Linked DNA regions of Stegostoma tigrinum. The protein of the gene in region 1 interacts with the protein of each later gene in a biochemical or structural test. Links are inferred from orthologs where the notes say so. Each region holds a gene or a part of one and is shown on either strand. Other genes may lie near its edges. The genes, in order: nbr1a and gabarapl2.

Region 1 (17,183 bases):
CCAAACAATTTTGGTCCCCTTATCCAAAGAATGATATACTGACATTGGAGACAATAGACTGATCCCTGGGGTGAAGGGACTGTCTTATGAGGAAAGGTGAAGAATGATAGGTGACCTTATTTTTTGAAAGATATACAAAGATTCTTACAGAACTTGACAGGATAGGTTTTCCCCTTGTGAAAAAGTTTGGGAGCAAAAAGGGCACAATCTCAGAATAAGATGTTGCCCATACAACAGTGAAATGAGGAACTTCTCTGATAGATAGTCAATGTGATGAATTCTTAACTACAGAGATTGGATTGTTAAAGCATATTGAAGGGTGACATAGACAGGTTTTTAATCAGTAAGGGGATTGAGGATTATGGGGAAAAAGGCAGCAAAGTGAGGTTGATCAGCCACCATCAGTAGCCACGGATGATTAGGGATAAGTGACAGCATAAAATTAAAAGAAAGACCTGACAAAAATGCACAAAACAGCAAAAAACAAAACCCAGTTAAATCGTAATTATGCAAAGACCAGCATAGGGCCACAAAATAGCTTACAAGAAGTACTAAGGGGGATCATGAATAGCAACTTGGCAGGGGCTTAAAATCAATAGGAAGAGGTTTTATAGTTACCAAAAAAAAAGGGAAAGCAGGTGGCCAGGAGTAAAGTTGGCCCAGGGAAGACAAAGTGAGGATACTGTCAATGATGATGGGGAAATGGCAGATATACTGAACAATTTCTCTGCCTCAGTATTCACAGTAAAATAAGGAGGAAAACAACACAGCAGATAAGGGAAGAATCAAGATATGGAGCTGGATGAACACAGCAGGTCTCTGCAGTTAATCTCAGTTTCACCAGCATCTGCAGTTCCTACTATCTCTGAAGGGAAGAATCAATGCAAGAATGAAGGCATTGAATTGAAATTGGTGGGTATGATATTGTCAGAATTACAGAGGCCTGGTTGCAAGGGGATCAGGGCTGGGAACTCAACATCGAAGGATACTCATCCTATTGAAAGGACAGGCAGATGCACAGAAGTGATGTTGAAGCAAAAGACATGGAATCTGTGCAGGTAGTATTGAGGAACCACACGACCCTGATGGCAGTCAGCTACAGGCCTCCAAGCAGGAGTCAGGATGCGTGGAAGAAAATAAACCAGGAGATACTAAAGGGATGCAAAAAAGGCACTATTACAAAATTCATTGGGTATTTCAACATGTCGGTGGACTGGAAAGTTCAAGTTGGAAGTTGATCCCAAGAAAGGGAATTCATGGAATGTACACAAGGTATTTTTTTGGAGCAGCGTATGGCAGACACCACAAAGTTACAGGCAATTCTGGATATGGTGATGTAATGATGCAGTCATGGTTGGGGAGCTGAAAGTGAAACAACTGCTAGGGATCAGTGACCATTTACGATGGGATGATCATAAAATGATGGAATTCACCCTGCAGTTTAAACTTCAAATGCATGGGGAGGAGCTGGCCAGAGATGACTGGAAGGGAAACCTATCAGGGAAGATGGTGGAATATCAATGGCAGGGATTCCAGGGAGTAATTCAAGAGGCATAGCAGAAATCTATCCCATGGAAGTGCAAGAATACTAAGGGGAGGACAAGGCAGCCATGGTTGACAACGGAAGTCAGGGAGCAGCCGCTCAGGTGACACAGTGGTTGTGTCCTTACCTGTGGACCAGGAGGCTCAGGTTCAAGTCCCTTCTGCTGCTGAGGTGTGTATTAATACCTCTGAACAGGTTGATTAGAAAATGTCAAAAAGCAAAAGAAAAAGCATATAATGTGGGGAAGATTAGAGGGAACTTAGAGGATTGCAAAACCTTAAAAACCGATAGAGGATAACAAAAAAGCAATAAAAGGGAGGAGATGAAATAAGAGGGTACTCTAGCTAGAGATGGAGGTGGCAGATATGATAGGCGCTTTTAAGAGGCTTTTAGATAAGCACATGAATATGCAAGGAATGGAAGGATATGGACCAATGGGCAGGCAGAAGAGATTAGTTTATTTAGGCATCGTGTTTGGCAAAACATCACAGGCTAAAGGACCTGTTCCTGAACTATACTGTTCTATGTTCTAAGGCAGGATGTTCTCACATTGGAGATGATCCAAAAGAGATTTACAAGAATAATCCTGGGAATGAAGGGCTTGTCACAAGAGGAGCAATTGAGGACCACTAATGTCCTTCGGGGAAAGATATCTTCCACCCTCACCTGGCCTGGTCTACATGTGACTCCATATCCACAGGAATGTGGTCGACTCTCAACTGCCCTCTGAAATGGCCAAGCAAGGCAGTTAGTGCATCAATCACTACAAAGTGTCAAAAAAAAAATGCAAAACATGATGGACCACCTGGCATTGACTTACATCGCAGAAAGGACCGTGCAAAACCCTCAGACCCCTTGTAGACTCATCCAGCACAGAAACAGATTGCTCGATCTAACCAGTCCATGCCAATCACAATCCCAAACTAAACTAGTTAGACCTGCCTAACCTGGCCCATATTCCTACAAACATCTCTTATTCATATACTTATCCAAATGTCTTTTAAACATAGTAAAAATACCCAATCCACAACTTCCTCGGCAAAGTTCATTCCAAACATGCATAAAAACAAATCATAAAAACAAACCTTGACCTGTCCGTCTTCCCTGGACGGAGGCTTGGGGACCGCTTTGCAGAACACCTCCGCTCAGTTCGCAAAAAACAACTGCACCTCCCAGTCGCAAACCATTTCCACTCCCCCTCCCATTCTCTTGATGACATGTCCATCATGGGCCTCCTGCACTGCCACAATGATGCCACCAGAAGGTTGCAGGAACAGCAACTCATATTCCGCCTGGGAACCCTGCAGCCATATGGTATCAATGTGGACTTCACCAGTTTCAAAATGTCCCCTTCCCCTACTGCATCCCTCAACCAGCCCAGTTCGTCCCCTCCCCCCACTGCACCACACAACCAGCCCAGCTCTTCCCCCCCACCCACTGCATCCCAAAACCAGTCCAACCTGTCTCTGCCTCCCTAACCGGTTCTTCCTCTCACCCATCCCTTCCTCCCACCCCAAGCCACACCCCCAGCTACCTACTAACCTCATCCCACCTCCTTGACCTGTCCGTCTTCCCTGGACTGACCTATCCCCTTCCTACCTCCCCACCTACACCCTCTCCACCTATCTTCTTTACTCTCCATCTTCGGTCCGCCTCCCCCTCTCTCCCTATTTATTCCAGTTCCTTCCCCCCATCCCCCTCTCTGATGAAGGGTCTAGGCCCGAAACATCAGCTTTTGTGCTCCCGAGATGCTGCTTGGCCTGCTGTGTTCATCCAGCCTCACATTTTATTATCTTGGAATCTCCAGCATCTGCAGTTCCCATTATCTCTAAAAACAAATCACTTGTTTTTAAAGAAATATTTCTTCTCACACCTTAAAAATATGCACCCAAGTCTTGAAATTTCCTACCCTCGAGAAAAGATACCCGCCATTCACATTATCTATACCCCTCCTGATTTTATAAACCTCTATGTGCACACCCCCCGCTTTAATCTCCCACAATCCAGTGAAAAAATGTCCCAGCCTATCCAGCCGCTCCTTAAAACTCAAATGCTCCATTCCCAGCAAGGTCCTGGTAAATGTCTTCTGAACCCTCTCCAGCTTAATAATATCCTTCCTTTGACAATAAGACCAGAACTGGTCACAGTACTCCAGAAGAGGCCTCACCAACGCCTTGTACAACCTCAACAAAATGTCCCAACCCCGATTCTGAAAAGTCTCAGCAATGAAGACAAGCGTACCAAATACCTATCCATGTGTGAAACAAACTTCAAAGAATTATGCAACTGAACTGCTGGGGGGGGGGGGGGGAATGCTAGTACCAAAGTTGAGCAATAGCCTGACATAGTCACATTCGTATTACAGACAGTGTCCCACCATCTCTGGATAAATGCTGTCCTAACAGCAGAACAGACCCAGCAGAGGTGGAAGCTTGGTTGGTATACAGTCTGCATGGAGTTGGCCTGCGAGTCCTCAACACAGAGTCTGGACTCCAAGAAGTCTCACGACTTCAGGTTAAACACAGACAAGGAAACCTCCCGCTGATTACCACATACCATCCTCCCTTGGCCAATGAATCAGTACTCCAGCACAGGGAGGAAACCACTGGCTGCAGGTACATCTGTCTTAAACAGTACTGGTAAGAGTGACTACCACACAATCCTCCTGAAGATGAGGCTCTGCCTTCACATTATCCTTCATCGTATCGTGTGGTACTATCAATATGCTAAATGGGACAAACCGAACAGATCTAGTAACTTGAGGCTGGGCATCCGTGAAGCACTGTGAGCCTTCAACAGCAGCAAAATTGCACTCCAGCACAATCTGCAACCTCTTGGTATGTCATATCACTATTCAACCAATACCAAAACATCAGAGGATTAACCCTGGTTCAATGGATAGTGCAGGAGGGCATGCCAGGAACAGCACCAGGCAGACTGAGAAATGAGACATCAACCTGGTAAAGCTACCATACAGGATTACCTGCATGCCAAACAGCACAAGTAGCAAGGACAGACAGAGCTAAGCGAGCCCACAACAAAAAGATCGCTTCCAAGTTCTACAGTCCTGCTATATTCAGTTGTGAACGATGGTGGGCAAGTAAACAATCCACTAGCGAAGATGGTTCCCTCTTGTCAGTGATGGAAGAGCTCCATACAACAGTGCAAAAGATAAGGCTGAAGCACTCACAGCAATCTTCAGCCACAAGTGCCAAGTGGATGATCCACCTTGGCCTCATCCAGTCATCCCAAACATTACAGATGCCAGTCTTCTGCCATTTCAATTCACTCTTTGTTATCAAGAAAAGGCTGGGGGCCCTGATCACATTACAGCAATAGTACTGAAGACCTGTGTTCTAGAACGTGCAACTCCCTAACGAAGTTCTTTCAGTTGTTAAAACACTGGCTTCTACCTGACAATGTTGAAACTTGTCCAGTATGTCCTGTACACAAAACAGGGCAAATCCAACCTAGTCAACTACTGCCCCATCAATCTATTCTTCATCAGTAGAGTGAAGGACAGTGTCCTCAACACTGAAATCAAGCAGCACCTGCTCTGCAATAATCTGCTCACTGCCCATCTGGGTTCTGCCAGGGCCACTCATCTCCTGACCTCATTACAGCTGTGGTTCAAACATGGACAAGAACCTGAATTCCAGAGGTGAGGGTGATAGCCCTTGATATCAAGGCCACATTTGACCAAGTACAGCCTCAAGTAACTCTAGCAAAACTGGAATCAACAGGTATCAGAGGACAATCTCTCTGCTGGCTGAAGTCATACCTGGCACACAGGACAATGGTTGTGGTTGTGGAAGGTCAGTCATCTCATCTCCAGGCATCTCTGCAGGAGCTCCTCAGGGTACTGTCCTAGACCCAAACACCTTCAGCTGCTTCCCTCCATCATAAAAGATCAGAAATGGAAATATTCGCCAATGACTGCACATTCACGACTTCTTAGATACTAAAGTAGTCCGTGTTCAAATACAACAACATCTGGACAATATCTAGGCTTGGGCAGACAAGTGGCAAGTAACACCACACAACTGCCAGGAATTGGCCATCTCCAACAAGAGACAATCTAACCAAAGTGCCTTGATTCTCAGTTGTGCTACCATCACTGGATCCCCCACATTAACTTCCTGGGTGTTACTTTGACCAGAAACTCAGCAGAGCTCACCACACAAACACAGAGGCTACAACAGAAGGTCAGAGGCTGGGAATACTGCAACGGGTAACTCCTGACTCCCCAGTGCTCTGCCCATCATCTACAAGACACAAGTCAGGAGTGTAACAGAATACTCCCCACTTGCCTGAGTGGGTACAGCTTCAGCAATACTCAAGAAGTTTGACATCATCCAGGACATAGCAGTCCACTTGATTATCACCACATCCACAAATATCCATTCCTTCCACCATTGATGCTCTGGACAGCACTATGTATTATCTACAAGATGCAGAATAGAAATTCACCAAAGATCCTTAGATAGCACCTTCCAAACCCACAACCACTTGTATCTGGAATGGCAAGGGTAGCAAATACATGGGAACAATACAACCTACAAGTACCCCTCCAAGCCACTCACCATTCTGATTTGGAAATATATTGCTGTTCCTTCACTGCTGCAGAGTCAAAAAACCTTGAATTCCCTTCCTAATGGAATTGTGGGTTAACCTACACAGGTGGACTGCAGTGGTTTTAGAAGGCAGCTACACCACTTCTCAAGGATAAATAGGGATGGCCAATAAATGCTGGTCTTCCAGCAACACCCATATCTCATAAATGAATAAAAACAACTCTGGAGTTTAGAAGCTTGAAGGAGGATTGCATTTAAACTTACACAATACTGAGAGGCCTGGATAGATTGGATATTGAAACAATGTTTTCATTAGTTGGAGAGACAAAGATGGCCTCAGATTCATAGGGCAACAATTTAGGACTGAGATGAGGGGGAATTTCTCAGCCAGAGGCTGAGTAGACGGTGGCAGATTTTTGGAACTCTCTTCCACTGAATGGTGGAACAGGTTTGAAGGGCAGAATGGCCTCCTGCTGTTCCTGTCTCGTTGAATACTGGAATAGACCTGATGGGCTAAATGGCCTACCTCTTCTCACATCTTATTGTCTTTTGTTTGCTCCTCGTAGCAATTGGCTATTTCACTCCAGAAGCAGCACCAGTTAATAGTTTTACAAATATTCTAGCCCAGCGAACAAAATTCTACAGATCCAAGTAATCTTATATCATACAGCATTCAGATTACTATCTTAAGAATGCTTAATCATGCACAATGTTGGGAAATAAAATAAAAATTTTGACCAAATGAAAGCTGCAACTTTAGCACTGGCTGAACAGCAACTACGGCAGGAAGGAAAAAAAACTAGAAAAAAAGGAGCTCAAATCTAAACATGCCGAGTTAACTCCATACACAGCATAAGAGAGTTGAGGAATCTATTCCAAGTTTTAAATTTTTTTTGAGCTTTGAGAATCAGTTTGACTCATTGATCAAATTGAAGGACAAATGGGTTACTTTGCACATCCATACTTTATAAACAGGTTTCATTTACGAAGTACACTGCACATCCGCTTGTCCTACTAAACTGGATTGCCTCAGATTTTTACCGTATATTCAATCTGCCATGTACTTGCTCACTCATCAAGTCTGCCTCAAACTGCCTTGAAATAAGTTTGCATTTTCCTCACAACACACATTCCCACCTAGCTTTTTGTTCATCTGCAAACTTGGAAATACTTCATTTACCCCCATATCCAAATCAGTGTTTCATATTGTGAACCACTACAGCAACAAACACTGATTTTTGCTGTATACAGTACCAGGCACTGCCTGTCAATGCAGAAATAACTTGTTTATTCTTACTTTCAGTCTTTTGCCTGTTGTCCAACTCTGGATCCACACCAGCACATGACCATGTATTTCCATTTCGCTAACCAGCCTTGTGTGAGAGAATTTATCAAAAACATTCTGAAAATTCAAATATGCTACATTCACGGACTGCCCTTCAACGATTCTGCTTGTAACATTCTTCAAATATATCCTCACAAATCTACGTTATTTATGTCCAAACAAATTATTATCCAAGTGTCCATTTATCACATACTTCATAACAAATTTAAAGGTTAACAAGTCTGTATTTCCCAGTTTTCTCTTTCCCTTCCTTCTAAAACGCAGATAGCAGGGTAACATTGACCGTGTTTCAATTTGAAGGAACCATTCCAGAACCTATAGAATTTGGAACGTGACCAGCAGAGCACCCATATTTGCAATAATTATCTCTTTCAACATTCTGAAATGTGGAACTTTGGGACCCAGGAACTTAACCTTCAAAGCAATTCATTTCTCCAGTCTACTCACTAATACAAATCTTCTTCAATTCTTCATTCTTCTTTTCCCTTGAATTTCTAAGTCAGGGAGATTTATTGCTTTCCTTAGGTGAAGATAAATTATTACGTGGTATCTGACTTCTCTGCCATTTTTCTATTTCCCATTCATGACTCTCTCTGCAGTGGACCAAATTTGTCTTAGCTAATCATTTCCTTGAGATGTAGAAAATACGAGGAGGTCTCTTGGCCCTTGAGGCTGCTCTGCCATTCAATGTAATCATAAATGATTATTCAATGTTTTGACCTGAACCACCTTCTGTAGGAAAGAATTCCAGAGATTCACCTGTCTTTAAGTGTAGAAACCTCCCCACATCTCATTCCTAAATGGCCTACTTCATATCCCAAGACTGTGATACTTGGCCTTCAGGAACATCCTTCCTGGGCAGACCCTATTGAGTCATGTTAGAATTTTATAGGTTTCTAGGAGATACCCCTTCATTCTTCTATAGTCTGACCAATCCAGTCTCTCTTCATATGTCAGTCCTGCCATCCCAGCAGTCAGCTTGGTTAAACCATCACTGCACTCCCTACGGAGCCAAAACGTCCTTCCTTGAAAAAGGAGACTGAAACTGCACACAATAGTCTGGGTGCGATCTCACCAAGACGCTATACAATTGCAACAATACTTTCACTGTAACGTACTTTCACTTATTAGCTATACTTGGGTCACCCTTCCAGTATTATTTTACTGGATTTGGTGAGGGAATGCTTACATATAAAAAAAGATTAACACAAAGAAGACAGTCTTGTATAAAATTTCAGAATCCATTAACACAGGAAGTCATGACAGAAAAAGTACACTGCCAAGGTATTTGGGATATCATCACATGTTACGTGACTCAGTCAAACAGTTTCAACCTGATGTCTACAAATCAGAACCTTCTAAAGCTACAAGCATGATCTGATATCCTGTTTACAGGTTCAATTTAACACCACCCAGAAAAAAAATTAAACTGCATATCTGTTAAGCAGCATAAACATCAGGACATACTGAGATAAATATCATGAGTCAGGGTACATCACATTATAAATAAGTTCTGAATCTGAAATTGTTCTGCTTAGATCAATAGTAACGTCACATCACGGTTTGCCCAATTGAACTAGCTAAACAGAGTTCATGTGAACCCAAGGTGGCAGCAACACACTATAAAGTAAATATTTATATTTGTTATCACATTCTTCATATATAATACTACAGCTAACCAAACTGTTTATTTAAACCAGGAAACCTAGCTGCAAGGACAGAATCACTATTGCAAGGAGTCATTGCTGAACATTTTATTCAAAATACTAAAAAACAACATGGCATGGATAGAGGATTGGTTGACTAATAGAACTCAAAGAGTAGGGGTAAATGGGTGTTTTTCTGGTTGACAGTCAGTGGCTAGTGGTGTGTCTCAGGGATCAGCATTGGGACCACAATTGTTTACAAGTTACATCGATGATTTGGAGTTGAGGATTAAGTGTGGGGTGTCAATATTTGCAGATGACACTAAGATGAGTGGTACAACAAACTGTGCAGAAGACACTGAAAGTCTACAGAGGGATATAGATAGTCTAAGTGAGTGGGCAAAGGTCTGGCAGATGGAGTGCAATGTTGATAAGTGTGAGGTCATCCATTTTGGTAGCAATAATAGCAAAATGGACAATGTTGTAAATGGTAAAAAATTGCAGCATGCTGTCGTGCAGAGGGACCTGGGTGTCCTTGTGCATGAGTCGCTAGAAGTAGGATTGCAGGTGCAAAAGGCAAGTGGAATTTTGGGTGGAGTTTAAAAACAGGGAGGCTATGCTGCAGCCGTATAGGGTCCTGATGAGGCCACACCTAGAGTACCATGTGCAGTTTTAGTCTCCTTACTTGAGAAGATATATACTAGCACTGGAGGGGGGTGCAGAGGAGATTCACTTGGTTGATTCCAGAGTTGAGAGGCTGGCTTATGAGGGGAGACTGAGTAGACTGAAATTATACTCATGCGAATTCAGAAGAATGAGGGGTGATCCTATAGAAACACATAAGATTATGAAGGGAATAGATAAGGTGGAGGCAGGGAGATTGTTTCCACTAGCAATAGAAGGCATCACCTCAAAATAAAGGGAAGCAGATGTAGGACTGAGGTCAGGAGAACTTCTTCACCCAAAGGGTTGTGAATCTGTGAAATTCCCTGCCCAATGAAGCAGTTGAAGCTACCTCGCTGAATGTGTTTTAGGCAAGGCTAGATAAATTTTTGAACAGTAAGGAAATTACGAGTTATGGTGTGCTGGCAGGTAAGTGGAGCTGATCTTGATCTTATTGAATGGGGGGGCAGGCTCGAGGGGCCGAAAGGTCTACTCTGCTACTAGTTCTTACGTAACATAATAGTTTGAGCACATCATCCTATGTCTGCTACGGGAGGGGGCAAAGAGTGTATATGGGGTGGGGTGGGGTGGAGTGGGGAAGGAGTGTAGACTACGCAGATGGGGGTGAAACAGTGTAGACGGGGTGGGGGGGGGGGTTAAGCGGAGGAGTGTAGACGAAGGTTTGGGTGAAGATCGAAGATGCCGGGGGAGTGAAGATGCCAGGGGGTTGGGGGGGGGGGGGGAGATAGAAGTTGCGGGAGTGGGGGGGGTGGGGAGAAATGAAGATGCAAGAGCGGGGGGAGGGAAGTGACAATATCGGGGGAGAGCGGGGGTAGGGGAGAGAGAAGAATAGATGTTGGGTCGGGGACAGAGAACAGTAGATGCGAGGGCTGGGGAGAGACGACAAGTTGCGGTGGGGTGGGGGGGCGGCGCTGACAGGAGAAGAGAGGAGATGCAGACAGGGGGAATTGAAAAGTAGATGTGGGAGCGGGTGTAGAGTTGATTCAGGGCGGGGTTCACCCCCTCCCTACACATCACTAACCATAGCTTCCAGATCCGCCCACGTCGTCTTCTGCGAGTCACACACCAGGAAAGTTTGTGTATCGCCACCAAAGGTCACGTTCAGTTTGATTTGCTCCTCCATACCTCCACGGTGGGTGAGAAGCTGGCGTCCGCCCGATGACAATGATAGTGACAGTGACAGTAATTACTTTCCCCCCCCCTCGGCACCAGAGGCTTCTGTTTACATCAGAGCCCTGCAGTTACCCAGCATCCACTGCGGCCCAGGGTAAACACGGTCGCCCATTGGCAGCTAACCAGTCATCTGACAGGATGTGACGTCATGCATAACGCCTTTGGCCGGGGGATTACACACTATTCGTCAAAACAAATCAGAGACCGGATAAAATGTTGGATGTTGGACCGTCAGATGAAGGATCGTCTAAAACAATAAGTTGGCAGCTAGAATCTGGCGGGTATAAGTTAAAAGCTTGCAGCGTCGTCTTACGTCATTTTTTTAATACAAACGGTGCGCCTATGCGTGCACCGTCATTCCGGTGCGTGTCATGTCCTGTGACATGTGTGAGCGCGGGAGACCCAAAATATGGCGATGCTTCGAGCTGAGGGTAGTGCTTGAGATCACTGTCGCATGCTGCTTCAACTTTTCATTTCGTCCGGTATTTTATCTTTCTCTGATTAAAATGCGTGTGATTTTCTGTGTTTGTAGCAACGGACCCTAGCGGTATGTGTGTTTTTTTGGGAAGACTGGATTCTGGATGAATGGGGAGCGGGGAATGAATAGAACGTACCTTGCGATTCCACAGCGCCTTTGACATCTGCTGTTCCTTCCGAAACGTTTTAGAGTGATCGGTTTACAATGTGACTCCTGTTATAATGCAGAAAGCACAGGAGGTGCCTGAGCTCGGCAGATTCTCAACATAAGATAGTCACCATATCAGAGATAATGGGAACTGCAGATGCTGGAGAATTCCAAGATATTAAACTGTGAGGCTGGATGAACACAGCAGGCCAAGCAGCATCAAAAGCTGACGTTTCGGGCCTAGACCCTTCATCAGAGAGGGGGATGGGGAGAGGAAACTGGAATAAATAGGGAGAGAGGGGGAGGCGGACCGAAGATGGAGAGTAAAGAAGATAGGTGGAGAGAGTATAGGTGGGGAGGTAGGGAGGGGATAGGTCAGTCCAGGGAAGACGGACAGGTCAAGGAGTAGGGATGAGGTTAGTAGGTAGATGGGGGTGCGGCTTGGGGTGGGAGGAAGGGATGGGTGCGAGGAAGAACCGCTTAGGGAGGCAGAGACAGGTTGGACTGGTTTTGGGATGCATTGGTTGCGGGGGGAGGGGGAAGAGCTGGGCTGGTTGTGTGGTGCAGTGGGGGGAGGGGACGAACTGGGCTGGTTTTTAGGGATGCAGTAGGGGAAGGGGAGATTGTGAAACTGGTGAAGTCCACATTGATACCATATGGCTGCAGGGTTCCCAGGCAGAATATGAGTTGCTGTTCCTGCAACCTTCGGGTGGCATCATTGTGGCAGTGCAGGAGGCCCATGATGGACATGTCATCTAGAGAATGGGAGGGGGAGTGGAAATGGTTTGCGACTGGGAGGTGCAGTTGTTTGTTGCGAACTGAGCGGAGGTGTTCTGCAAAGCGGTCTCCAAGCCTCCGCTTGGTTTCCCCAATGTAGAGGAAGCCGCACCGGGTACAGTGGATGCAGTATACCACATTGGCAGATGTGCAGGTGAACCTCTGCTTAATGTGGAATGTCATCTTGGGGCCTGGGATAGGGGTGAGGGAGGAGGTGTGGGGGCAAGTGTAGCAAAGTGTGGAGCTGGATGAACACAGACCAAGTTGCAGCTTAGGAGCACAAAAGTTGACGTTTTGGGCCTAGACCCTTCATCAGAGGTTTTCTGATGAAGGGTCTCGGCCCGAAACGTCAGCTTTTGTGCTCCTAAGCTGCTGCTTGGTCTGCTGTGTTCATCCAGCTCCACACTTTGTTATTCCAAAGCTTAATTTATTTGTGCTGCTGTCTTTGTGATTGGACTTGAAATATGACGAGCCAAAAAAGTAGTAGTAATATGATAGCTGAATTTGTGTTTTGTCACTATTAATTAGTAATAGGAAGGACAGACACTGAGAATGAGTATGTTTCTTATTCCCTGGTTTTGAAGTCAAAGCAAGTGGAATTAAGTTTTTTTTATAACTATGGGTGCTATTTGTGAGAAGGTGGCAGTGTTAGAATGGAAAAAAAAACTTCAATCCATAGTCAATGAAATGCTTAAATCATATACACTTGGCACAATGGATTAATATATAGTTGTACTGTTAACAAGTTTGTGTGTTCCTGCATTTTACCACAGGACTGAGACCTTGAGAAATAAAAGTTGAATTGTGTAAAGCTGATTGCAAATCTGTGGAAGTAAGAGCAAAAACAAAACATTGTCGATGTTAATTTCAGATTTCCAACAATCCTGGAAAGACTCAGCAGGTCAGACAGCATTTGAAAAGGGAGAAACAGTTAAAGTTTCAAGTTAAGAACTTTTTGTTCGGATCAAGAGGTTACAATACTATAACAAAATTTTAAATAAACACAGGGAATAATAGTTGTTCAGGTTTCATTCCGATTCAGACTGGAGTAATCTTGAGATCCATCTCCTTGCTCTGCCCCTGAGAAAGTCTGCCATTGACACCCTATGAGGCAAAACCAAAATGCTCAGGATGATACTTCAGCTTATAATGAGCTGGGAGGGAGAAAGAAGGGGAATGTATGATCGTGTCTAAACGAACTAACAGGGATGATTATACAAGACAAAAAGTGATGGTGGTAGGGTAGCAAGATCAGAAGTCAAAAACAGTGGATGCGTGAGAGCTGAAATTGGCAGCATCAGGACCTGAAACAAAAATGGAAACGGTGATAATGACTGACCGTAAAATGTTAAAGCCAGTTTTAATTTTAAAAAGCTAATGATGAAATCTAAGATTTTTTTCATACATTCACATGATTGGGGCAGCACTAGTTCTTTATTGCCTTAAGGTGATGTGAGCTGCTTGCTTCAAACTTAGCCATTTGAAAGTATAGGAACACCCACAGTCCTGTCAGGAAGGATGTTCCAGGATTTTCACCTAGTAACAGCGAAGAAATCTCAAGTCAGAATGGTGTGTGGTGGGAACTTGCAAGTTGTGGTGTTTCATGGTGCACTGCTTCTTATGAGCACCACTCTGTTCTTTGCTCTCAGCATATGTGCTTGGGTCACAAATAGTTGTGACTATGCTAAATAATTCAATTCTGAGAAAGGGTCACTGGACCTGAAATGTTAACTCTGATTTTTCCTTCACAGATGCTGCCAGACCTGCTGAGCTTTTCTAGCAATTTCTAGATTTACATAGGATATCTGGGTGGCATGGATGAGTTGGACCAAAGGGTTTGTTTCTGTGCTGTACATCTCTGACTATTTCCACCCCCTGCTTTCTTTCCTTCAGGGTTTCAGAGATAATTCCAGTTCAAGAACACCTTCCTTGGATCTGATCATTCTCATCAAACTGGTCTTGTGCTGGGGAAAGCTAGAGTTTATTCATGAGCTGTTTAAGACAGATTTAAGGGCAGACCAAGAGCTGTGGGCATTTTTGTGGTTCCTGTTCATTGATTGTAGAATCCCTACAGTATGGAAACAGGCCATTCGGTCCAATGAGCCCACACCGCCCCTCTGAAGAACATCCCATCCAGACACATTCCCCTACCCCTACATTTCCCTTGTCGAACCCATCTAATCTAAACATCCCTGGACACTCTGGGCGATTTAGCATGCCCAATCCGCCTAGCCTGCACTTCTTTGGACTGTGGGAGGACACTGGAGCACCCAGAGGAAACCCACGCAGACACAGGGAGAATGTGCAGACTCTGCACAGTCACCTGAGGCTGGAATCAAACCCGGGTCCCTGGCACTGAGCCACTGCGCCATTCATGGAATATCATCTGATTGGCTTATGTTACTGCTGCAGTTCTTGGGTGAGGCTGATGGAGATAGCAAATTGTATTAGCCAATGATTAGTCCAGCAGTTGCAGATCCTGGCATGTCACGAGTGATGTGAACACCTCATGGTCCCTCAAGAGTAATAGCATGTGCTCAATTTTGTTCCTAAGGCAAGTGTGCTGCCATGAGGTCTTGAATTTATCTCTGTGACAAAAATAAATACTTGTTATAACCAGATTCTGCCCTGGCCAATTCCATCAGGAGGGCAATTCATTGACGGTTGCCTTCTTTGCCAGTCACCTGCTTTTTAAGAGATTTGTGTGTGGTAATGTAAACTGTGTAATTTGTGTATTTCAGTACCTTTTATGTTAGTTTGGCATATGGGGTTTTGAAATCTGTAGTTTAATGATGAGCTTTTAAGTGTTTCTGTAGCCAAGAGAGAGTTCTTGTGATCTAATTGAAGTTTATCACTGGGAGCAAAGTAAACAGTGTATGTTAAGCAGTTCAAATGTCTGTTTATTTGTTTGGTTTTTCTCCCCTCTTTTTTGATAGGGATGCTATCTGTAGCTTAAAGTTTTCGGGTTTCAGTTTGTCAGGTTTGCACAAGTCTAGCATGAAGCTAGATGTGTAAATCAGTTGCTCCTATAAAAAGGAGTTAACACTATTTAACAATTGTAATTGGTTTCAGTATAAAGAGTAATTTTCCAGGTTTCCAGACCAGAAGTGTTTGGTTAAAATCTTCAAGGAATTATGTGAAGCTGAAGAAGTCTAAGCTTAGTTGTGTGAAGAAACTGAGACCCAGGACAGGGAATTGATATCATAGCTAGGTCAAATCCTCAGTGGGAAAAAGAAAGCCATTGTCTCAGCTGTTTGAATATTGTAAAGAAATGTCATCAGGCTTTATGGGGTCACATTTTATCATGCGTTTCAAAATCTTTGTTATATGTAAATGGATGGTTTCTTCTATTTTATACTTTCTTTTGCCTAATACAGTTCTGCTTTATTGTTAAAAACATAAATCTGCAGCATTTGCCTGTTTTTGCTTTAACTGAAACAGCATTGCACTAAAACAAAAAGTCAAGCCAGACTTTAATCTAGAATTTGACTTGCCCAGCAAAATCATCCACTCAGATAATAACACCTATTCCTCGCAAATGCAGCACTGAATTTGAGGAGAATCATCATCTCTCTCTTTGAGACACAGGGCAAGACTGAGGCTGGAGTAGAATGCTACGTTGGCCTTGATTATTGTTCTTCAGCTTGTGGCCTATGCACTGCACTCTAAGTAAGAATGAGCCAAAGAATCCCAACAATTAAGGAGAGTCGGGGGGGCATTACAAAAGAGAAAGTGCTAGAAAAGCTAAAAGGTCTAAAAATTGATAAATCTCCTGGCCCCGATGGGCTACATCCTCGAGTTCTGAGGGAGGTGGCTGAGGAAATAGTGGAGGTGTTGGTTGTGATCTTTCAAAAGTCACTGGAGTCTGGGAAATTGCTGTTGTAACCCCCTTGCTTAAGAAAGGATCAAGACAAAAGATGAAAATTATAGGCCAATTAGCCTAACCACCTTTTTTGTTTTTCATTCAATTGCATTTAATTTAATCTGTGCCAACTCAAATTTCATCAGTCAACTAGCAATTGAAACTTGGTCACTTTCACTGAGAAGTTGACATAAGAAAGATATCCTCTTAGATAAAAACAGAAAGGCAGATGCTGTCAACCAGCAACAAAAGCAGAAGTTACTGCAAAAATTCAACAGGCCTGGCAGCATCTGTGAAGTAAAATCAGTTAATGTTTCAGATCTGGTGACCTATTCTGAGGAAGCATCACCGAACCCGAAAAATTAACTGATTTTTCTTCACAGACGCTGCCAGACCTGCTGAGCTTTTTCAGCAACTTCTGTTTTTATACCCTCCTACATAACCTAAAACATTCCTTACACAAAAGTGGTAGTGGAAAATACACAGTTAAAGAAGGTGCTTTTATTTTGTTCAGGTGGTATAGATAAGATGTCTTATCTGACAAACAGGGTAGAAACTGGATGATGCAGGCTATCAGGTATTTATACAACCCTCCTCTCCCATTTGTCATGCCAGTCCAGATAATGTAACTTCTCAGAACCTAGCTTCTTCTGGGTGGCTGTTTTTGTTACTAGACTCCTGTAGCTAGCAATGGCAATTTTTCTCTTTTTTTTTTCTAATGCACTGAGCTATTCACCTCGCATTTTAATACCACATCGAAATGCTTGATAACAAAACAAATCTTGAGTCATCCCACTGCCACTTTCAGAACAAACCCAGAATGAAACTTTAAAACCATGTCCCTTCCTCGTTGTGTATGTTGATGAAGTAACCCCCCACCTAAAAACTCCAAGCTTGTGCAGCATCTGCAAGATATATGCCAGAAGTGTGGTAAATGCTTCCCACTTGTTTGGA
Region 2 (16,340 bases), on another chromosome or scaffold:
AGATTGGTATGGCAGGTCGGCACAACATCGAAGGCCGAAGGGCCTGTACTGTGCTGTAATGTTCTACGTCCTATAACTTGGGTGTACGCTATTAAAATGTGGTAGGATTGGTGGGGCGAACTGTAAATAAAACATACAGAATTCTGAGATAATAAAGTGTGAAGCTGGATGAACACAGCAGGCCAAGCAGCATCTCAGGAGCACAAAAGCTGACGTTTCGGGCCTAGACCCTTCAGAGATGAAGGGTCTAGGCCCGAAACATCAGATTTTGTGCTCCTGAGCTGCTGCTTGGCCTGCTGTGTTCATCCAGCTTCACTCTTTATTATCTTGGATTCTCCAGCGTCTGCAGTTCCCATTATCACTGATACAGAATTCTAAGCTTTGTTAATAGAGGAATGGAATATAGGAGGCAAGTGAAAATGAACGTACATAAGCACAGATTAAACCACAGGTGGATTATCATATACAGTTCTGAGCACCAGAATAGTGGAAAAATGTGAACGCATTGGAAAGAGCGCAGAAGAAATTTATGACACATGTTTCATAGAGTGAGACACTTCAACTAGCAAAATAGAACAGAGAAGTTGGGACTGTTTCTTGTGGAGAAAGTGAGAAAATGTTTAATGGAAGTTCTCAAATTTATGAGATGCCTGCAGAGAGTTGATATGGAGAAACTGTTCCTGCATGTTAAAAGGTTTGAGAATGAAAAGGCAAAGATACAAGTGTGAGGAGAAAAAAAAAACTTTTCAGGATGCCTAAAATAAGGAATGACATGGGTTCCAAAGTTAGAGGGCATAGGTTTAGGATGAGAGAGGAAAGATCTAAAAGGGTCCTAAGAGGCAACTTTTTCAGGCAGAGTGTGGTGCGTGTATAGAATGAGATGCCAGAAGTAGTGGTGGGAGGTTGTTACAATGACAACATTTAAAAGGCACCTGGATGGGTATATGAATAGGAAGGGTTTAGAGGGATATGGGTCAAATGCTGGCAAATGAAACTAGATTTATTTGGGATATCTGGTCAGCATAGATGAGTTGGACCGAAGGGTCTGTTTCCATGCTGTATGTCTCTATGACTCTATAAAACACCATTATAAAAAGAGATAACAATGGATGATTTATGTCCATAATTTGACTTATTCTCTTCTATTGCTGAAATGAGCCACTGATTTAGTTTCAGATTTCATTTGAAGGGGAGAAGTCTAAATTCAGATAATTTCAGCTTAGATCTGCTCACTGATGAATAGTTATGGTACAAAGGATAAAGAAAAATGACAACATGCAGCACTCCCAGTCCTAGATGTAAGTCTGTATTTGCCATCTTCAATTCATTGGATGATAGGAGAGAGAGAGTATGTAGCGGTCAAACCATTGGGTTCATTATCCAGAGGCTCAGTTAATGTCCGGAAGAATAGGTTCACCACAACAATTGGTCTCTGTAATCAGTGTGAAAACAGAAGTGATTGTCAGGGAAGGAAACCTGCCATTCTTTCTTTGTCTAGCTTATATGTGACTCCAGACTCACAGCAATATGGCTGATTCTTAACCCACTGAAATGGTCGAGCAAGCAAGGGCAATTGGGGATGGGAATGAATATTAGCCTCATTAGGTGACACCAACATCTCATGAAAGAACAAAAACAAAAAAGGACGAAATAATCCAAGCAGCCATTTTCTGGTAGATCCCCTAAAACTTTGTGGCAAATCAGTGAAATGGAGAGGTACTTTGTGATCTACAATAAGGTTATGGCTGAAAATTACTGTTGAAATTTTTTGATAGGTATTTAACATATATCATAGATTTCCACTTTCTGACATATCAATCGCAGCATAGTCTCTAAATATCTTAATATCACATTAAAATGTATGACCACTGATTATCACGCTGAAAAACAACTGTTAGCATTAGTATAAAAAATAGTCATCAATAATTCCAAGTTCAATAAAACGTGACAAGAAGAAAGGACAAATTGTGTTTATATTGTGCCTTAAAATTTAGTACACAATCCATGGTTTTATGGATAGAAAGAAAATGATCATCAAGCAATAGTTGAAGACTTTGCGGATTGATTAGAGGAATGGTCATAGATTTTATAGAGGATTTTAAATGTGGGGAGAAAAGGAAGGGAGACAGATTTAGTGAGGGTGTGGAAAAGCCAAGAATCAAGATATTGAAAACTCTATCACCACAGTGACATGCAGGTAAATCAGTGCTGTATATTCAGATTAAACCAGTAGAGGAGATTACACTAAAGGGAAAAAGGTGAGAACAAAAGCACTAGTAGATCCTGTGGCTTCTAAAGTCAGCTCCAAGGTTCAATGTGATCATAGCTAATGTTCTATCTCAACTTCACGTTCCTGGCCACTCCCCAAATCTCTAAGAAACTAATAGACTTTATCTCTCAGGTTTTGAATATACTCAATAACAGAGCATCCAAAACGTGCTGGGAAAATAATTCCAAAATTTCACAATCTCAGAAGTGAAGAAATTTCTTGTCTTAGTTCTGGATGATCCAGCCATTATTCTGAGACCATGAAGCTCCAGAGATTACAAGTCCAATTTATTCAGCCTGTCATCATAAACAATACCCTCATTCAGGAACCAATGTATTCAAACTTTACTGTATCCCCTTTGAGGCAAGCATAATTCTTCCTTGAATATGGATGCAGAAACTGCACACTGATTACACCAAAGTCCTTGACAATTGTTGCAAGATTTCCTTATTTTTGTGCTCTAATCCTCCTGCTATAACAAATTGCTTTCCTAATCCTAAAGAGAATGAGGAATTGAAGGAAATCAACGTTAGTAAGAAGGCCGTACTTGAGATATTAATTGGGTTAAAGTGATAAGTCCGCCGGACTTGATGGTCTTCATCCCAGAGTGGAAGTGATTACAGAGAAATGCATTGGTGATTTTTCCAAAATTCTACGGATTCTGCAATTAATCCTGCAGATATAAAGGCAACAAATGTCACCTCCCACTATTTAAGAAGGGAATGAGATAGAAATGAGGAACAACAGATCAGTTAGAATTACTTCATTAGTACGGAAAACACCAGAAGCAATTATAAAGGATGGGAAAGATAGACATATGGTTGATTACGATTTGGTTCAGCACAGTCAACTTGAATTTGCAAATGAGGAATGGCATTTGATGAACTTGGGAGTTTTTCTGAATATATTACAAACAAAATTGATAAAAGAGACCTGATGGGCATAGTATATTTAGATTTTTAGAAGACTTTTAATAAAGAGGCCGGTTTGAAAAGTTAAAGTACATGGGATAGGAAGTAAACATACTAGTAAGAATTAATGATTGGCTGACAGAAAATAGACAGTAGGAATAAATGGGTTATTCTCAAATTGGCAGGCTATGACCTAGTGGGGTACTATAAGGATCAGTACCTGAGGTCACAGCTGTTCACAACGTTATCAACGGTTGTAGGTAGGGACCAAAATGTAATATTTCCAAATTTGTGGATATGACAAGGCAGGAATAGGAGGTGTGGAGAAAATGTAAAACAAGTATTTCTGTAAAAGATTCAGTATGGTGAATGTTCAGAAAGTCCCACGTTCACAAGTTACTGAAGGCTAACATACAGGTGAAGCAAGGTATTACGAGGGCTAATGGAATTTCAGCCTTTATTGCAAGAGGATGAGAGGCTAGGAACAGTGAAGTCTTGCTTCAATTGCACAGGACCTTGGTTAGAGCCCCTTAGAGAGTGTTCTGTCTTTGCCTCTGAGGAATGATGTTACAGCCACAAAGGGACTGCAATGAAGACTCACCAGACTTGATAGTTGGGATGATAGCACTGTCCTTTGAAGAGGGAGTAAGTGAACTGAGCTTGTATTCTCTAGAGTGTCAAAGAAGGAGAGGTGATCTCATTGAACATTGCAAAATACTTGAAGGGGTAGATGCAGGTAAGATGTTTTCCCTGGTTGGGGAGTCTAGACCCAGAGGCCACATTTTAAAAATAAGGTAGATACTACTTAGGTCTAAGATGAGGAGAATGAATATTCTGAAGATGGAGATTGATAGGTTTTAATTACCAGTAGCATACCGGGATACAGGGATGGGTTGAGTAAAAACCATTAAAGTAATGTATTAACCATGTTAGTGTTGAACGGTGAGGCAGGCTTGAAGGATTGAATGGTCCACTCTTGTTCCTAATTGCTTGCTTTACCTATAGATTAATTTTGTGCACTATACCATTTTTCTCTTAACATCAATATTTAAAAGTTTTACACTTTTAAAATGTTCTGTGTTTGTTGTTGCTATTAGTATGAATAACCTCTTCCTTTGTTCACACTTAGTTTATTGCTTACTCACTTAAATTGTCCATACCTCTTTGGTTCCTCTTTTCAGTTTACATTCTCACAGATACAAAGCGTCTTTTTCTAAGTCGCTAATATGGATTGAAAATAGTCAAAACCTCAGCACTGACCCTTGTACTACTCCACTATTTGCACCCTGCTAACGTGAAAAAGCCCCGGATATCACTTTGGTTAACAGATGGGAAACAATCTTGCATCTATGTTGCTACCAACTCCATGAGTGCAGCTGGAGTATTAAACATCTATGCAGTACCTGGTTGAATTCCTTTTAGAAATCCAAGTATACTACATCTACTGAATCCCTTCTATTTACCCTAGCAGTTACATTCCAAAAACTAAAACATTCTCTTTCATAAAACAACATTCGATTTGGTCTGATCATAAATAATAGTACACTGCAGTTTTTTTTCCCTGACATTAATGTCACATTAAGCAGTCTATCATTTCCGTTATCCCTCATCCTTGCTTTGTAACCAATGGTGTTACACTGATGACTGAGAAACTTGTAAATGAGCATCAGAAGCTTTAATTCAATTTGTTGGGAACGGGGAGCCAGTGAAAGGCAGCTAAGGAATGAGTGGAGTATTTAATATGGAAGTTGGAAATCTGAAATAAGAACAGAAAATGCTTTAAACATTCAGTATATCTGGCACCATCTGTAGAAGGCAAAACAAATTTAATGTTAATGATATGGCTTCTCATTGGAACACAATGTGTGTATGGTTCAGGTAGTGGAATAGATTTGGTATTTAACAAAGGAACTGTTAGAGAAGGGGAGTCTGGAGCACTTGAATGGGAACTTCAATGGCAGTGAAGATGGGGAAAGGGATTAAGATGTTAAGTGTTACAGAAGTTAATTACTGTCGTGATTTACTTGGACAGAACATTGAATATAGTATTAGCAATATTAACAATTCAGAGTGGACTATTTAAATGCAATCTAGCAAATTTCACATATTTTACCCTCAATAATCCAGGGTTCGGAAAAGATTTACAAGTACATTGCCAGAGTTGGAGGGTTTGAGGTATAGGGAGTTGCTGAATAGGGTGGGGCTATTTTCCTGAGTGTCAGAGGCTGAGGGGTCACCTTATAGAGGTTTATAAAATCTTGAGGGGCATGTATAGGGTAAATAGACAGGTCTTTTCCCTGAGGTGGTGAAGTCCAACATTAGAGGGCATAGGTTTAAGGTGAGAGGAAAGAATTTAAAAGGGACCTAAGACACAGGTTTTTCATATAGACGGTGGTGTCTGTATAGAATGAGCTACCACAGGAAGTGGAGGAAGCTGGTACAATTACAACATTTAAAAAAGGCATCTGGATGGATATATGATTAGGAAGGGTTTAGAAGGATATGGGCCAAATGGAACTAGATTTATCGAGAATATCTGGTCAGCATAGTCAAGTTGGACTGAAGAGTGTTTCCATGCTGTACACCTCTATCACTCCATATCTGTGCTCATTTCATTCTAGCTTCTTACAAATCCAAGTTCTTAATTGCTCGACCACTCGTAGCCATACCTTCAGCATAGGCCCAAAGTTCTTAAATACACTTTCTGCAGCCTTCTGCCTGTCTACCTTGTTTTCCTCCCATAAAATACTCCTACAGATTACATTGGCCAAGCTTTGTGTCTGGCGTAACATCATCTATGTACCTCAATACAATATTTTGTTTCATTATGATTCTATGAAATGCCTGGAAATATTCAAATTTGTTAAAAATGCCTATAAATAAAGGTTGCTGTTGTAATTTTGACAAAGGGTAGGCTTTGAAATGCAAATTCAACTCAGGGTCCAAAGGACCTTAAATTGAAACTGAGTTTAAACAAAGAGCCAAGGTGAATATAGAGGTTCCTGCTCGAGAGAGTAATAAAAATTGTTCTGCATGCAATATCTCAACATCTACCAAAACCCAATTAAACAAAACTGCTAAAACCAGATTAATTCATTATGTATTAGGGTGCATTTTGTGTACCAAACTGCTATTTCCAAATGACAACTCTGCAAGGCAAACAATTACTCTTCTTAAATGGTACTTCACTTCTACAACGTTACGTGATGAAAATTATTATATGAAGTTCAAAGTTGATGAAAGGTTTAACGTAAAGACTGTTAACATTAAAAAAGGTGAGGGTTAAGCAAGCCGGTTCAGTTTCCTATGGATAAATAAATAATTAGATTAGATTAGATTAGATTCCCTAGTATGGAAACAGTATTGTGATATCTAAATCTAAAAACCACATGCAAAATAGGTTTTACTGGAGCATTGATGATGTTGACACGCTGGATGTAATATTCGAGTGTTGAGTTAATCATTATCTAATTCTGAAAACCTCAAATAGACGCAACAATTTACACACCCTAAAACAAAACAAACAGCAGGCCAACGAGGAAAACTGCGCAGGTCAGGACTAGGCCCTGAAGATGATTAAGACAGCCCGACAAAAACTGGGTTCCTGTAAATGCGTCTCCAAACCAAACTCACCTAATGAATGGTCTTCTTTAAACATCCATTTCATGTTGCCCGCTATATGAAAGTATCTATTGACTGAAAAGAAACAAAACGCTGCTACAACGTGACTCTCTAGCACTGCGCGATATGAAGCTCAGGGAATGTCCTGTCGGTCGCAACTACTCGCTAGTGAAAGGCGGGGAAGGATAGACAGACAATGATTCAAGCGAGAAGACCAAAAGATTTCTGACAGCCAGAACACAGCGTGTTGATTACAGTATTTGTTTCCGGTTTGTAGCATTGAATAGCAATTCGAAATGATCCATTTTTGTTCCATACGAATAAATTCAAAACTTTGATGTATCCCTTATAATGCTATGGTTTGTTCTGAAAGGTCAATTCAACCATTAAATTACATCATTTATCATTTTAAAAAGGAAACATTTTTGATACGTTTTCTATGTTTTTTATTCTTTTCTAATATGGGTTCCAGATTGAACGATTGAATGTAAGCAACACAACTGTCAAGGTACCTTTTGCTCTGAGTGAGTGGTGAAATTCTTGAATCCCAGTAGTCCATCTTCTTCGTATGAGTGCCCTCCTAGGCCAATACTCAAGACAATTAAATCTCAATCACTTGGAGTTGTGTATTAGCCAAACAGGGTAAGATTAACAATGAACTTGTAATTTTGTAAAGCCAAAACATCCCAAGATATTTCGCAGAGGCATTATAAATAAATTGTCATGTGAGGAAATATCATGACAGATGCCCAAAAACGTGTTCAAAGTGATGGCTTTTAAGATATAACTTAAAGGAGGAATATAAGGATGAGAGGTGGAGAGGCTATAGGGAATTCTGTGTTTAGGCTCCAGGCAACTGAAGGCAAGATCTTTATTAGCAAAGTGATTGAAACTGGGGATTGGAATTAGAAGTGTACAGATATCTCAAAGAATTGTACGATTGGAAGGGATTGTGGCAATAAAGTAAAGGCAGGTTGTGGAAGAATTGGAAAATAATTATGAGAGTTTTATATCTAGGTATTTTATAACTGAGAGTCAATATAAGTAAATGACCACATGGGTGATGGGTCAATTTTTTTTGCTGACAGCTTGTGCAAAGACATTTAACTTTAATTGTAAGGGAATTAAGGAATCAAACTTCAAAACTGCAATCTCAAATATGGTCATCTTAAAGTGACAAAGGCAAAAAAAATCATGGATGTGGAGTGTGAGGCTCAGTGACAACAAAACAGAAGGAAAATCAGAGGTAAGGGGAAAGAGATCGAAATTAAAAATGGAGAATACAACTGAGAAGCAGGCCGAATTTATACACTGTTCAGAAGTTCATCAAGGCAGCAGTTCACTGAGTAGTTTTCTTGACTCAGCCACCTTCAGCTACTTCATTGATGACCTTCCTTCCGTTATAAGGTCAAAATTGAGGATGTGTGCGATCAGCAGCAAGATGTTCAACACCATTCACAACTCATCAGATTGTGAAGCAGCCAAGGTCTACATGCCGCAAGACCTTGACAACCTGGAGGCTTGGCCTGATAAGTGGCAAGTATCATGACATGGAGACAGACAACCAAATCAAATCAGCCTCTTTATCCTTGTATTTGCAACACAGAAAAATTAAAATAATCAATGACACTCAAAATTGATCCCAGTGTTTCCGAATCAGTCTTTTTGAATAACCACTACCATATTTAGATAACTAATGACAGACCCAAGGTTTGTAGCAGAAACAAAAGATTTAACAATTAATTAACAATACAGTTATTTTAACAGAACAAAGTTAAACCAAAAGGTAATCTAATTAATGACTGATTTAAACTCAATCCTCCTTAAATCTAGCTCTCATTTTCACACAAAGACTGACAGACATGGTTAAGGGACAAATCAAAAGAAAAATAATCAGTTGAGATGTAATTGGCCAAATCACTTAAGTGGGCTGCACAATTCGTACCATCCTTGGCACATAGGATTATATCTTGCTTAATGCCTCATGATACCAATGTATACACATATCTTTGAGCAGGCTCTGAGGAATATTGATTTAATTCTTATAACTAAGATTCTGTTCTTATAGGTTGATAATGAGAGGACAACTGGGGAACATAGAATAGAATCACACAGCATAGAAACAGACCCTTCAGTCCAATCACTCCATGTTGAAAATGATCCCAAACTAAACTAGTCCCACCTGCCTGCTCCTGGCCTATATGTCTCCAAACCTTTCCTATTCGTGTACTTATCCAAATGTCTTTTAAATATCGTAATTGTACCCACAAACTCAGGAAGTTCATTCCACGCGCAAATCACTATCTCTGTTAAAAATTTACCCTCATGTCTTTTTTAAATCTCTCTCCTCTCACATTAAAAACGTGCCCCCTTGTCTTGAAATCCCTATCCGAGGGAAAAGACAACTGCTACATGCTGTAAGATTGGTATAACAGGCAACAAGGTAATTAGGGCCTCCAGTCATTTTCTTACCATGCAAATATCCTACTGAAAGAAGATACATCAAAATCATCTTGCAAGCTAATTGCCACCAATCTGATCATTTCTTTCTGTATATTATGTAAAATCATGAACATACGTAAGGCCATAGTTTTTGGTCTGAAAACTTCCCTGAGATTACTCTGGAAATCTCAAAAAATTGAGCATCAAATTAAGTTTGATATTTCACACTGCTCCTGTGCGGTAATGACATTTACCACTTACCAGATGCTGCCATCAAGTCAAAAAAAAGTTCTGCCTATCAAAATGAATAACAAAGTGCATGAATTTCAATGTCAGTATGATGCTAGGTATGTTGGTAGTACATAGAATTCAAACAGGTCCCTTTGGGTGTTCACAACAGGCCAAGTACAACTGCACCTAATCAGCACACACTAGTAAAACTCGCAACAATGTCCAACATTAAATGTGATTTTGCCATTGCACAGCATTTGCTAAATAATCCTCATAGTGCTAAGAATTACACTGTCAACCAATTAATGATCACAAGTCAACCTTGCAGTGTAGCACACTTGTGCACACGGAAAGCAAAATATATTAATACTCAGGGATCCTGTTTTTGCATTCAGAAAGAACATATACATACATTGTATTTGTTTCAATGCAACAAAATAGGCAACAACTATTCTGTGGTTCATTCCTCAGTGCAATGCCTTGGCCAGAGTCAACCTACTTTATTTAAATTTTTTAAAAAATTTACCATTTTCTAAATGGTGTTTTCTTCTTGGCAATATCTGTAAAGTCCACTTGCTAACTAATTCATATTCTGTCTTTTTAAACAATATAAAATATTGTCTCCCTTTACACTGGTATTCTTGCAAAAGTCCTGACTGCAAAATAAAAAGCTTCAAGGTGTAATTTTTCAGTAATACTCATGTTCTGTTCTACCAAATGACTACTCAAACCTTTAATAAATTCTCTCCATCCTCTATCCACAAAGGTCTTTTGTGACTTACATTTCAAAAATCCTATCTGAAACATGCATTTATTTTCATTCAACTTAGATGGAAAATTTTCTTCATTATTGTCACTTTTAATTTCTGCATATTCAGCTAATCAGACAAACTTTGCAACAAAAATTTTGAGATTCTGAACTCAGATGTCAAGTAGAAGCATGCATCAAACTGTCAGCAATGGGACAGCAAGAGTTTTGAAATATTCTGGTTAATCTGAATTTAGGTTGTCATGATAATTATAATTTGGAGTACTGATCATTATTGCTAAAAATTAAAGATCATCCTTCAGATGTTACAATTAATTTTGTTCAGTCATCCAAATTTGTCAAAACAACAAAGGGAGCAAACGGCTGGTGTGTGCATTTACAACAAATTGTCTTTCCATTGAATTTCAATATTGAATAAAAGCTACGGATCTCAAACTTGAAAATTGCAGTTAGGTGGAAGGATATCCCTCATTTCCACTAGCTCTCAAGGGGAAAAATGCTGTTGACTTCATCATAAGATATCAGCTTTGACTCTGTTGGTTGCATTATTGTCAGAGTCTGAAGGCTGCAAATTCACATTCCATCAAGTTAACTGTAAGTTGGCAAGCCATTTTTCCACACAACGTAAAAACTTATACCCCATCTGACCTCTCAGTTCAGCATAAAAGATCCCATGGCAATATGTAAAGAAAAGGAGTTCAACATGTGATCTGACTGATAGTCAGCCCTCAATGTCACCAAAAAAAAACCTGGTCATCACGACACTGCTGATTTTAGAATATTTGCCGTGCACTACTGGCTGCTGTTTCCTTCATTTTAATTGCAACTATACTTCATAATAATAAAATCTCTCTATCTGTAACCTTCTTCTGACTTAAACACAGTTCAAAATAAAGTTCAAACTCTGGCCTTTCTTTGTTAGACAGGTTGTTTGAGTATGAAGTCCCAGTAAAAACTCAGTATCTGCCATTTACCTGAGTATAAGGCCTCTCCAGAGTCAAAACATTTATAGAGCACCTTTTAACAAGAAACAACCTGCAATTAACCTTCAGCACTGGCTCAGAAACAAATAGTAGTTTGTTTGTTCTCTTTATTTTTAAAATAAGCTGCTGATCGCAGTCCAAAGGTCACTGACCTCTCCTACAGTTCACAAATCCAAACCAAAAGCAAAATAATGAAAATATCAGCAAAAGTTATAACACAAGTAATAGTCATGCCACACAAATATCAGGAGATGACAGTTTTCAACAAGAATGATACCTACAATCACCCCTTGAACTTATGGCATTATCATTATTGAATCCCCCATTGTCAACACCCACGGGGTTACTGTTCACCAGAAACCGAACTGGACCAGATACATTCATGCTGTGGCTACATGCGTAGGTCAGAGATTAGGATTCTGGAGCAAGTAATTCATTTTCAATCTTCCCATTCCTATCCATCATCTACATAGCACAAGTCAGCAGTGTGATGGAATAGTCTTCACTTGCCTGGAGGGTGCAACTCCAACAACTCTCAAAAAGCCTGACTGGCACAACCGCCACTATCTTCAACATTCACTCCCTTAACCACTCTCATACAATGCAGCAATGTGTACCAACTACAAAATGCACTGAAATAATTCTTCAAGCTCCTTCAGCAGAATCTTTCAAACCTGTGGCCTCCGCTACCTAGAAGGATAAGGGCAACTGATGCATGAGAACATCATTACCTGCAAGTTACTGTCTGTGAAAAGTGTATTTCACTATTGATCAGGAGATCAAAACTGTGTACAATACTCTAGGTGTGTTCTCACCAAGGCTCTTTATAATTGCAGTAAGATATCATTAATCCTCTTCTTAGTTGCTTCCTGTATTTGCACATCAATTTATAGTGTCTCGTGAGCAAGGATGCTGAAGTTCAACACATCTAAGCCTCTCACTGTTTCAGAAATAGTCTGTATTTCTGTTTAAATCATGAATCTGGATGATGTTATACTCCTTTACATTGTATTTCATCTCCCAATCTTTTACCTTCTAACCCAGCCTCTCTGAATTCCCTTGAAGCATCTTTACAACCTTCTAACAACTCACACATCTAACTCATTTTTGTGTCATTTTGGAATTAGCAAAATTACATTTAATTCCCACATCCAAATGCTACACTTGTTCAAAAAAGGCTGTAAAGATAAACCCAATAACTACAGATCAGTAAGTTTAATCTCAGTGGTGGTAAAGCTTTTAGGAATAATAATCAAAGGCAAAAATAATAGTCATTTGGGAAAATACAGATTAAGGAAAACATGTTTCCCTTACTGGAGGCATCAATTTAAGGCAAGGGACAAACCGTTTACAGGGAATGTGAGGTAACATTTTTTCATCTAGAGGGTGATAGAAGCAGAAACCCTCATAACATTTAAGAAGTGTTTAGATGTACACTTGTGATACCAAAGCATATAAGGCAATGGGATTAGATTATTTAGGTGAGAGTTAGCAAGAACAGCAGATGCTGGAGTCACAGACAACACAGTATGAGCTGGAGGGATACAGCAGGCCAGGCAGCATCAGAGGAGCAAGAAAGTTAATGTTTTTGGTTTGGGACCTTACTTCAGAAATAAGGATGGGGAAGGGAGCTGGGAAATAAACAGAGAGGAGGGGTGAGACGAGGGAGGTAGGTTGGATGGTGGTAGGTGAGCGTAGGTAGGCAGTGGTGGGGATTGGTCAGTGAGATGAGTCGGGGGGATAGGTAGGAGAGAAGATGGATAGGTGATTGTTTTTGACTGGTGCAGACTTAGAGGGCCTCTTCCTGTGCTATCAATCTTCGTGAGTTTATGATGGAAAAACGATTAGACATTACCTAAGATCAGAGCCTGGTATATCAATGATTACCACATATAGCAATATGTAATTTAAAAGTATAATAAATTGTGTTGCTTTGAGATCTAAGCCTGAAGACAAGTTCTTGATTTTTCCTTCTCTTTGACCAACCTGTCTTGAGCCTAAACCCCATGCGCCATCAAATTGCACTATAAAAGAAGTTTGAGAACCAGAGAGAACATATTTCAAGTAATTAGCTAAAGACAGTCCCTTTGATATCCCTGGTGATATTCTTTATCTTGTCAAAAGTAAAGTTCCCAGTGGTGTGGAAATTGTTTATAAGTGGATGAAAAACTTTCAACTCAACTGGTTGACAATGTCATCTCCAGTCTCTCAGAAGACAATCTTCAATCCTTGCTTAATGCCTTCACGGAAGCTTACTGAAGAATTGGTTTCAGCCTCACCCTAAAGATAACTCAAATCTTTTATCACCTGTCGCAAGTCAAGTTCTTGTCCATCCATCCATTAAGAACAACAGAGAAATCCTCCCAAATGTGGAAGATTTCCCCCACCTGGGAAGATAGCTGTCATCTATGGCTGACATCAATGACATGGATGACCGTGACATCTGCGCTGATACTAAAACCCTTCTGTATAATGCAGTCATCCTTCTGACTGTTCTACTTGGCTCCAAAACTTCAACAATGTATAAACACCAACTCAAGGTCCTTGAGAAGTACTATCAATGCTGTTTGAGATAGATTCTCTGATCAGCTGGGAGGACAAGTGAACTAACATCAGCATCCATGAAGCAAGAACACCAGCATCAAGACCACGATGATCCAAAAACCATCTGTTTTGGACTGCCACTCGCTTAAGATGCCTGAGCTTTGACTGCCAGAGCAAATCATCTTTGCCCAGTTTGAGGAAGGCACTTGAGCAAGAAGAGGACAAAGGAAGCATTTCAAAGGCTCCCTGAAGACTTACCCCAAGAAATACATCATATATGTCAATGTATGGAAGGACCTTTGTTTAGAAGCAACTGACTTGGAGGAAGGTCCTATTTGAATGGGCACAATTCTTTGAGAACACCCATCAGCGGGAGGAAGTCTGGAAACTAACTAAAGAAAGAAGTGCCAGTGACCTCAAAGCCAAGGACCAATTCCATCACCTAAAAACATCTACCAAATGTGTGGTAGAACAGGAAGTTCTAGGATTGGATTTATTAGCTATGCAAGAATTCACAGGACCAATAAACAGCGACATGGAATTCCGTAAGTGAACAATTGTGATTGTTGGTGATTGATGAAATGACAACTTGTGGTGACTTGAAGACAATCTTTTACATGTAACTGGAGGTAAAGTTGTGTGAGCTGCCACAATGGTAAAGAGCTGGTTCAGTTGATGCATTCAAGCACAATTTAGATTGTTATAATGAAAAAGTACAGAGTCATAGAGCTGCAGTTTGGAAACTGACCCTTTGGTCCAACTCATCCATGCTGATCAGATATCCTAAATTAATCTGGTCCCATTTGCCTGCATTTGGCCTATATCCCTCTAAATGTTGTAATTGTACCAGCCTCCACCATTACCTCTGGCAGCTCATTTCCATATATGCACCACCCTCTGTGAGAAAAAAGTTGTCCCTTTTAAATCCTTTCCCTCTCACCTTAAACTTAAGCCCTCCAGTTTTAGATTCAACTATCCCGGGGAAAACACTGGCTACATTAAGCATATAAGTCCTGCCCTGATTTGCCTTTCCAAAATGCAGCACCTTACCTTTATCTAAATTAAATTCCATCTGCCACTCCTCAGGCCATTGGCCCATCTGATCAAGATCCTGCTGTAATCTGAGGTAACCTTATTCACTTTCCTCTACACCTCCAATTTTGGTGTCATCTGCAAACTTACTAACCCTACCAACTATCTTCACACCCAAATCATTTATATAAATGATGAAAAGCAATGGACCCAGCACTAATCCTTGTGGCACATCACTGGGACTCCAACTCTGAAAAGCAGCACTTTGCCACCACCCTCTGTAGTATACCTTTGAACCAGTTCTGTCTCCTAAGATGCTGCTTGGCCTGCTGTGTTCATCCAGCTCCACACTTTGTCAACTTCCAATTATCTTTGTATCCAAATGGTTCTGAAGAACAGTCACCGGACCCTGAAACGTTAACTCTGGTTTCTCCTCCACAGATGCTGCCAGACCTGTTGAGATTTTCCAGCAACTTTGTTTTTGTTCCTGTATCCAAATGGCTAGTTCTCCCTGTATTTCATGTGATCTAATCTTATTATCTGAAAAAGGAGGAACTGTACATGGAACAAGTGGGGATTAGCACTCGAGTGATTTGTTTTTTCAGAGAGCGAGCACAGACATTACGGTCTTAATTGCCTCCCTCAGCGCATGGACGAACCTACGATTCTGAGAACGATCAAGCAGAGTTCTGAATGATAAAATGTGAGGCTGGATGAACACAGCAGGCCCAGCAGCATTTCAGGAGCACAAAAGCTGACGTTTCGAGCCTAGACCCTTCATCAGAGAGGGGGATGGGGTGAGGGTTCTGGAATAAATAGGGAGAGAGGGGGAGGCGGACCGAAGATGGAGAGAAAAGAGGATAGGTGGAGAGGAGAGTATAGGTGGGGAGGTAGGGAGGGGATAGGTCAGTCCAGGGAAGACGGACAGGTCAAGGAGGTGGGATGAGGTTAGTAGGTAGGAGATGGAGGTGCGGCTTGGGGTGGGAGGAAGGGATGGGTGAGAGGAAGAACAGGTTAGGGAAGCAGAGACAGGTTGGACTGGTTTTGGGATGAGGTGGGGGGAGGGGACGAGCTGGGCTGGTTGTGTGGTGCAGTGGGGGGAGGGGACGAACTGGGCTGGTTTTGGGATGCGGTGGGGGGAGGGGACGAACTGGGGTGGTTTTGGGATGCGGTGGGGGAAGGGGAGATTTTGAAGCTGGTGAAGTCCACTTGATACCATTGGGCTGCAGGGTTCCCAAGCGGAATATGAGTTGCTGTTCCTGCAAACTTCGGGTGGCATCATTGTGGCAGTGCAGGAGGCCCATGATGGACATGTCATCTAAAGACTGGAAGGGGGAGTGGAAATGGTTTGCGACTGGGAGTGCAGTTGTTTATTGCGAACCGAGCGGAGGTGTTCTGCAAAGCGGACCCCAAGCCTCTGCTTGGTTTCCCCAATGTAGAGGAGGCCACACCGGGTACAATGGATGCAGTATACCACATTGGCAGATGTGCAGGTGAACCTCTGTTTAACATGGAAAGTCATCTTGGGGCCTGGGATA

What was found.
Region 2: the proteins of nbr1a (region 1) and gabarapl2 form a complex in vitro, tested with the Homo sapiens proteins (2 studies listed by IntAct). The link is inferred for Stegostoma tigrinum from reciprocal best matches to the Homo sapiens genes NBR1 and GABARAPL2.

What each region holds. Positions count from the first base shown.
Region 1 is NC_081384.1:16,098,794-16,115,976, reverse strand, and holds the start of nbr1a (NBR1 autophagy cargo receptor a), read right to left. Parts: upstream 11,053-17,183; 5' UTR 10,916-11,052; coding exon 10,814-10,915; intron 1-10,813. UniProt on the Homo sapiens protein: Ubiquitin-binding autophagy adapter that participates in different processes including host defense or intracellular homeostasis.
Region 2 is NC_081369.1:41,524,895-41,541,234, reverse strand, and holds the start of gabarapl2 (gamma-aminobutyric acid receptor-associated protein-like 2), read right to left. Parts: upstream 6,978-16,340; 5' UTR 6,848-6,977; coding exon 6,814-6,847; intron 1-6,813. UniProt on the Homo sapiens protein: Ubiquitin-like modifier involved in intra-Golgi traffic. Modulates intra-Golgi transport through coupling between NSF activity and SNAREs activation. It first stimulates the ATPase activity of NSF which in turn stimulates the association with GOSR1.